2 linked regions of the Coturnix japonica genome follow. The protein of the gene in region 2 interacts with the protein of the main gene of each other region in a biochemical or structural test. Links are inferred from orthologs where the notes say so. Each region holds a gene or a part of one and is shown on either strand. Other genes may lie near its edges.

Region 1 (4,164 bases), on a different chromosome or scaffold from region 2:
CTGTTTTCCAGTAATCCTGTTTTGACACAACACATAGCCAGGCTTCAGTTTCCATTCAAAATAAACCCCTTTTATTTTTTCCCCCAGTATTTTTAAGATTTACCTATAAATGCCTGTATGAACTCAGACGACATCTTGATCTACCTCTAACTTACTGAAGAGCCCCATAGAGCAGTTATGCATGCACCCCAAAGCACACAAGCCCATCGTGTAGACTTGGAGCTTTGAGCTTTGACTGTAGTTCTGCTTGGGAGCAAAGGCTATTCTGCCTCACAGAGGACTGTTGGATTAGAAAAGGTACCTGAGGGATTCTACATGTAGCCAGCTTTCCTCTGGGGAATGTAAATTTGAAGACTAATTCTGTGGATATTATTTCACTGAGCAGCATTAAATAAATAACTACAACAGATGTGGCTGCTGCCAAGCTGGTTTATGCTTTGCTGCTGCTTTGAATGAAGCCTGGATTTTATACGATGCTCAAAACCTAAAAGGAAGGCATGTGAGCTCAGTTCTGCAGTGACACAGACCCTCATCCAGACTCCAGTGAAGCTCGTAAGAAGACTTTGGGATCAGTCCTTTAGCACCTGTATCATTTCAGCCCTCTGCTAGTGGAAAGGAAATTACAGGTTTGCACCTTTAGGTTTATCTGCTTTACTGGACCATGACCAAAGTGCTCAACAGGAGGCAGAGCAGAACCTCAGACTGTTTGGGGTTCTCAGTCCACCAGTGCCATATCTCTGCCCTTGGCAGCACAGAGACATGCCGAAGGCAGAACTGGGCTGCTCTGGGATTCCAGCAGGCAACAGGAGAAATCCTATAACTGCTGCCACAAGGAGACCCATACAGTGTTTTTAGCGGGTTAGCAGTTTTCTAGGGAAAAATGACTTAGAACAAGGTGGAGAAATGACCACTGCTCAACAACTTCTGTGCTATGAAACTGATCCTTGTAGCTCTCATGAGCTGAGCCCTGGGATGTGATGAGACAAGACGCTCAGCCCACTGCTTTCCCAGTGCTCAAGCTGCTGGGCCCCAGCGGTGCTCCCCAGGCTCTGTGAGCTCTCATTGAAACTCCAGACAGTGTGGGCTGTGAAAGGAGCAGGCCCTGCTTCTTCCAAGCTTTCTCAGTTGAGCCCCAGAGTTCCTTTCCTAGAGACTGGGCTCTGCATGCCACCCAACAGAGAGTGCAGCTGCAAGGGAATACACCTTAGTGTCCCTTATTGGACATTATGCAAAACCTGAGATTGCAGCCCCAAAATATTTTGGTCTCGCAGGTTCTGGGAATCACAAGGCAGCTCTCTAACAGCCCCACACATTTCTGAGGAACAGAATTTCTTTCTTCTTCATCACTTCACCACATATTTGCATGCCAGAGAAGTCAGTAGGACACTGAGCAGGAAAGCAAATAAATTCTACTAAAGCACTGCAGTGCAAAGTGGGACACTGACACCCAGGAGTTCAGATGCTGATTTCTCAAAGATGATAGAAGAAAAAACGTAGCACGCAAAACATCAAACACAACACAGCAGGAATTGATTTAACCCACAGTGGGGATGGTTCCCCTGTGCACACTCACAGCTACAAGAGACGGCACTTGAATATCTCGCAGGGAACAAACCGCGGACGACCAAACTTAACTAAGAGCGATGTTTTAAGTGCTATCTGAAACAGGAGATTTTCTTTCTTTCTCTCTTATCACGATTCCAAAGGGGTGTAACTGCAGCTACGAAGGCACGCAGCGCTGTTTCACGCACAGTCGCCCCAGTCAAGGACGGTGAATGTCCGGGAAGGCTGCACAGAACCGGCTGCAGGACAGGACCTGCGGCTCGGCCCCTTCCACGAACATGAAAAACGGGGAAGGGAATTCTCACCACCTGCACCGTGGGGTCCCTCTGCACGCCTTTTGCGCAACACCTCCCCCAGCAAAGACCTTGAAAGTTACAAAGCGCCTCGCGTTGTGCAAATGTGGAAGTCGGGCACCCACAGATAACAGCTCCGACCTTTCGGTATAATCGGCTAAGAGCGCGGGGCAGGTCCGGGGACCCCAAACGACAACCGCTTTCAGCTTGGGCGAGAGCCCCGCAGCGGGTCCCGCAACCCAGGGGCGGCTGGAGGCGCCCGGCCCGGAGCTGCGCCCGCAGCCGCCTCCCAATGGGGCTGTCCAGCACTCGTGCTCCGGCCCCAGAGACCCCCACCGGAGAGGGGTCCCCGTGACAGCGGAGGGGAGCGCGGGGCCGGCAGGCTGCCGTCGGTGGCACCGCGAGGAACGGAGGGGTGGGGAGACAGGGAGAAAAAGAGCCACTTACTCGGAAGGATCGAGGCTCTTCCTCTCGATGGCCGATGACATTGGCAGGGATGGCTCCTTTGTAGCGTGCCTGTGGTGCGATCTGCCCCCGCTGCCCCCGCAAAGGCCGTCTGCTCTCGACGCCTTGTCACCGGCCGCGCTCCCCCTCCGCCCCCCAATGACATTCACAGGATTTCCTCCTGCAACACCAAAGAGAGACACAAACGCGGGCTGGGGCGGCTGCCGGGCTCCGGCGGCGGGGCTGCCCGCGGGCTCTAACCTCCCATCCTCGCCGCGCTCCTCCTGCGCTCCGTGCGCCGGGGCCGCCCCCCCGGCTGCGGCTCTGCGGGCGGGCGGGGGGCGACTACCGCGGCCACCGCTGTCTGCCCGCCGCTCTCCGGTGCCTGCCCGGCCGCGGTTCTCAGCTCGCCCCGCGGAGCCGGGCGGGTGCTGCGGCCGGGGAGCTCGGCATCGCTATTAGTGCTGAGCGGCGCGGCCCCGGCTCTCCGGTTTCATTTCCTTTTTCCTGATCACGATTCAAATACAATAGAAGGAAATCACGCTTAAAGAGACAGCTGCCCGTTTCTTAACTGGACTCCTGGGGGTTTAGCAACACAAACAACGGCATCACGACTCGCTCGGTTTCTTAAAGGGACAGAGCTCGGGCTCCCCGCAGCCGGAGCTGCGAGCTGACGCTGCGTTTTCACATCGCGACGTCACGGATCAGAACCGCACCGCTGCGCGGGGCTCCCGGAGAAGTGCTCGACCCGAAAGCATCCGAAGGGCTGAGGGAAACCTCGGCCGGCTCCGAGCTGCCGGCACCCCAGTCCCACAAGGGATCACAGCGGGTCACGCTCCCTCTCCTCGTCCTCCCCAGCAATACACACGCACATGCCCACGCCACGCACGTTTCGACCGGCACCTGGAGATCAGGAGCTGGGTCAGAACTCGAGCTCTGTTTTCTACCTAGAGCACAAATCGGTCAACTAATCTGTGCTTCCTTTGTATCCCGCTGTGTCCCTGAGTTACTGGTCACTCGTGTCTGCTTCCAGATGCCCCCGAGTTCTCGGTAAGCACTATAACAAATTTATATCTTGATGCTGTTTGGTGTTAATGAGCTATAAAAGCTCGTGAGCACAGTATTGATCCATAATGAATCACACGAAAGCTAAAGGTGGGCAACTCTTGCCCGAATGTCTCTATTTCCACTCCCATCCTTCCTCCCCCTCCTCTCCATCAGCACAGCACGTCCCGGAAAGAGCTGATTTACAGGGCTAGAGTGAAAACTATTACAGTGGTTATAGCATTTTCCCAGTCTGTGTGGCATGAGATCAGGGTGGCTGCTGGAGGCAGAGCCTTGGCTGAAATGAGCCACTCGCCCCACTAATTCCTTCAGAAACAGTAAGAAAAGATCAGCAGTAAAGCGCTAGCAGAAGCATTTAGCTTCTATATTAATTCCCAGAACAGAAAAACATTTGATGTCTATTTTTATGAGTACATTTTAATTTTTTCATCTTTTTGGCACCGGGGTTATAATATCTGAAATACATTAATGAGCCTGAGCCAAAGATTAGTAACGTCAGCAGAAGGGTTGTTATTCATTTCAAGGGCTTTGAACTGAGTTCTTGCAATGCTTTAGAGCCATCACTGGTCATTAGAATACATCTTATTCTTTAAAAGAGTTATCTCCAATGTATTTTAAGCCGTTACAGTATGGCAGCTGTTCTCACAACCAAATGTTCCTGTCACAGTGCAGCTCCTTTGCCAGGTTTCATGGACAGAACGATGAACATTTCATTTCTTTTACTGGCTTTAAAGGTGTGTCAAAAACAACCACCTTCAAACATAGTTGGTGTGTGTGTGTGTGTGTGTGTGTGTGTGTG
Region 2 (3,972 bases):
CCAGCCCGAGCCCCGTGTGCGTGCAGGTGGCGGGGACACAATAGCGACCCGCGCACCCCCAGCTCATCCCCGCCGGCAGGTGCGGCCGCTCCGCCCGACCCGTCCGACCCCTTTTTCCCCCTAGGGAATGGCTCGGAGAAGATCCACTCTCCCATAGCGGGGATCGAGGCCCTTCCCGAGGCAGGTCCCGCCGTGATCCCAGCCTCCCCGTGCCATTTCTTTCGTAATTTCGTTGATTTTAGGGTTCCCCGATGGATCGAATATCGCTCTTTGCCGCCGTCTTTAGGACCGATGGACGTAGAGATAACGGATTGCACCCTGTGCCATCCCCATCTCTCCCCGCTTCATCCTCCGGGCAACGTGGGGAGGTGCCCTCATGCCCCTTTATCCACACCCCCATACCCCAAAGCCCGCACGGGGAAGGCCGGCACCGTTCCCATTCCCCCGTTCCCATTCCCATCTTCTCACCCCCACGAACCCCATCCCCCTTTCTCCACTTCCCCCCTGGGCCCGGCTCTGAGCTCACCCCACATCTCCCATCCCAAATTTCCCGAGGCCGAGCTGTGCCCGATCCCTCCCCATGCTCCAGTGGGGACGCTCAGCCACCCCAATCCGAACCCTAATTAAGGACACCCGCACTGCATCGGGGGGGGATGAAGGCTGCGGATGGGACCAAAGCAACCCACACCCCTTCCCTCTCTTTCAGCATCCCCACCGATTTCTTTCGGCTCATTAAATTTAATTAAGAACGGAGAACGTCTTCCATCAAAAAGAAAAAGAAAATAAAAAATAAATAAATAAAAATAAAAAGCAGGAAAAAAAAAAACAACCCAAAAAACACCCAACAAAAAAAAAACCAGGGCCATAATAACCTCCGAGAGGACTAAAATAAAGGATCGCCATTCACAGACTCGGGCAGAGCAGTGCAAGATTTTATTACTCCTTCTTTTTTTTCCCCTTCCTATTGCAGTGTCTTTTTAAGAGCATCTAAGCACACACACATAAAAAGCTAGAAGGCATTCCGGAGTTATTCCTATGCATATCCCTGCAATAATTTTCCGCTTTCCTTCGATAAAATTGCCAAATAATAATGAATCATTTCATAAATAATGGGTTTAGAAGCTTATCAGGGCAGGCGGGCCACTGCTGGGGCTTTATCTCTCTCGGCCACATTGCAGTAGTGTTCCGCTCTCCATACTAAATAGGAAACTGGACGTGATGTGGAATTAGAGCCTCCCCAGCTGAAGCCACCCCACATTACTACAAATATAGCCGCCATGCGTAGGCCACAAAATGGCTCCACTCACTTTTCCCAATGAAAAGCAAATGGTGAGTGGGGAGGGATCGGGCCCAGCAGCGGGATGGGGCTGGAGGGGGGCACGATGGAGGGGGTGGGGAGGGGGGATTTTGGGGGGCACGTAGGGGTCTTCTGCAGCCTGTTAAAGACAGGTGGAAGGGGGAAGAAAAGCCAAATGCGGCTTTTCCACGGTTGGGCTTTTTTTTTCTCTCTGTTGTTCTCCTTTGATTATGGGGGCTGGGGGGGGGGGCTGAGGTTGTCTTTCCTTGCTAACCGACCCCCCTCTTTCTACTCTGGGTGCAGTTCCCACTATCGGGGCTCTATGGGGAGATGAGGGGCGATGCGGGGAGATACACACTGTCCAGCCAGGGGGGGGGGCCCAGCCTGAACCGACCGCCGATCGGCACATGGGGGTTTCTCCCCACCCCGTTCCCCATCCCTTTCTCTCTCCGTTTTGGGGGTAATTCTCCCCACCAAGGGCACAGGGAAAAGTGAGTGGCCGGGGTGGAAATTTTCTGCCCATCCACGGTCGCAAAACAAAAGGAGTTGGAAGCGCAGAACAGAACGGGCGGAGATGTAATGCCCCCCCCCCCCCCCCCCCTCCATTTTTCTCCGTACAATTACCTCTAAATGAAACGAAAAAGCGGCGGATTTGGGGCGTTTTTTGGGTTTATTTCGTTTTAACGAAAGAAAATAGAAAAACACCAAAGGAGAAGCCGACGGGTTTATTCCGTTGTTTAACGAAGAGCAAAGCCCCCGCTCGGCATTTTGCTGCGGGAGGGTGGGGGGGCACGGATCTCTCCTTCCTGTTGATCGCAGCGGGGCCGCTACGGGCGGACACCGGCCCCGGTCCTCCGCGCTGAGCTCCGCGGCTCCGGCAGCGGCCCCGCCGCTATTAGCGGCCCCGTCGGAACAAACCAACCCCGACCCCATCCTAAATCTCCTTCCCGAGGAGACATCCAACAAAACCCCACTTAATTCAGCCCCAAAATATGCGTGGTTTTTTTTTCCCTCTTTTTTTTTTTTTTTTTTTTAAATTTTCTTTATTAATGTTTCCCCTAAATATATTATATTTCCCCCCAAATATACCAGCTTTCCCCTTAAATTTCTCATCCTTTTCCCCCCAAAGACACCACTTCTCCCCTCTCCTTATAACTACGGGCCGTGTGCCGGGGCTGTGCGCGGTGCCCCCGTCCCCTCGGTGCCATCCCCGTGTCCCCCAGACCCACCCTCTCTCTCCCTTTCTCTCCCCCCCTTCTCTTCCTCCCAGGCTTTAGCAGTTTTATCCCGATGCGGGTGTCCTTCCTCTCTGTAAAGTCGTAAGTACCTCGAGGTGGGAGGAGTAAATTCAGCCTGACACTGAGAGCGCTTTTGTTGAAACGGGAGAGACTCGCGGTGTCCCTACTTAAATATGACACATGTGAGTAATCTCTTCCTATACAATATGGGAATAGGCAATTAGATGCTCTTTCTGGAGGGCTGGCAGGGCGGGGGCAGGCGGTAAAGCTTTGGGTTGAACGGCTGATATTATGATGACTGTTATTATTATTATTACAGATGGAGAGGTGTGATCGAAATAATAATAATAATAATTTTCTCTGGGGTTGGATCAACCCAGAAATGATAATTATTGACCCAAAGCGAAGCAGCGGGGATGTCGGGAATGAGATTTGCACCGTTACTTATAGGGAGGAAAAAAAAAAGAAAAAAAGAAAAAAGAAAGAAAGAGCGAAGAGGGCGGTGGGAAAAGGAGAAATAGTCGCGATAGCGCTGCCCGCCCTCGGCTCTGTCGCAATAGTTTCGTTATAGGGGAGAAAGAAGGGAGCGGGGCCGCAGACAATTGCCGTGCGCGGCCGCGGCTGCTCCGAGCCGGGGCCCCTTCCTCCTTCCTGCTGAGCTCATGGGGGTGCGGGGCTTTGTGTGAGCGTTTCTCCCCTCCATTGGGCAGCGCCTGGAGCTTGGTTTCCATGTTGAAAATTAATAACAATTATTCTAATACGAATAAAGTAAAAAATCCCCCCTAATGGACCGAAATGTCCTCAAAATTGAGCGGGGAGAACCCTCGGCCTCCTTCCAGTTCCCTGCCCCTGTGGGTACGGTGTGTGTGTGTGGATGGGGGGGGTTCCAGGGTCATTGGTACAGGGGTACAAGGGAAGGGGGTTGGAGGTGTTTCTGCCGTGACGTCACGCCACCGCTGCGTGACATCACGCCGCAGAAGCGGGGGGACCCCCCTGTCGGGTTCGGGCCGCCCCGAGCGCTGCTCTCCCCGCAGGACGATGGACAGGCCGCCCGCCCCGCCGCCCCCCAGCAGTGACCCCCGCGATGCCCGCCGCCACGACCCCGAAGCGGAGCCCACGAGCGAGCCCGACAGCAGCCGAGGGGGCATGGAGCCTCCGGCCGAGCCCCAGCTGCTGCTCAACGGGGCGGCCAAAGAGGCGGGCCGACCCTCCCCCGGGCCCCCCGCCGCCGCCGTGCCCGTCATCGAGTTGGTTCGCCGGGGGGGCTCCTTGGACATAAAAAGCCGAGAGGCGGCGGGGGAGGCGATGCAGAGAGCGCCGGGAGCCGAGCCGTGCCGCGCCGCCGAAGCCGCCTGCGAAGCCCGAATGGTGCAGCTGAGTCCCCCCGCGCTGCCGCTGCAGCCCCCCGGCAGGGCGATGCTCTACAACCTGGGGCAA

The links.
Region 1: the proteins of TAL1 (region 2) and LMO2 form a complex in vitro, tested with the Homo sapiens proteins (2 studies listed by BioGRID). The link is inferred for Coturnix japonica from reciprocal best matches to the Homo sapiens genes TAL1 and LMO2.

Annotation. Positions count from the first base shown.
Region 1 is NC_029520.1:6,398,283-6,402,446, reverse strand, and holds the start of LMO2 (rhombotin-2), read right to left. Parts: upstream 2,801-4,164; 5' UTR 2,569-2,800; coding exon 2,562-2,568; intron 2,482-2,561; coding exon 2,304-2,481; intron 1-2,303. UniProt on the Homo sapiens protein: Acts with TAL1/SCL to regulate red blood cell development. Also acts with LDB1 to maintain erythroid precursors in an immature state.
Region 2 is NC_029523.1:19,453,964-19,457,935, reverse strand, and holds the start of TAL1 (T-cell acute lymphocytic leukemia protein 1), read left to right. Parts: upstream 1-1,172; 5' UTR 1,173-1,315; coding exon 1,316-1,329; intron 1,330-2,567; exon of another isoform or gene 2,568-2,715; coding exon of another isoform or gene 2,716-2,717; intron 2,718-3,569; coding exon 3,570-3,972. UniProt on the Homo sapiens protein: Implicated in the genesis of hemopoietic malignancies. It may play an important role in hemopoietic differentiation. Serves as a positive regulator of erythroid differentiation.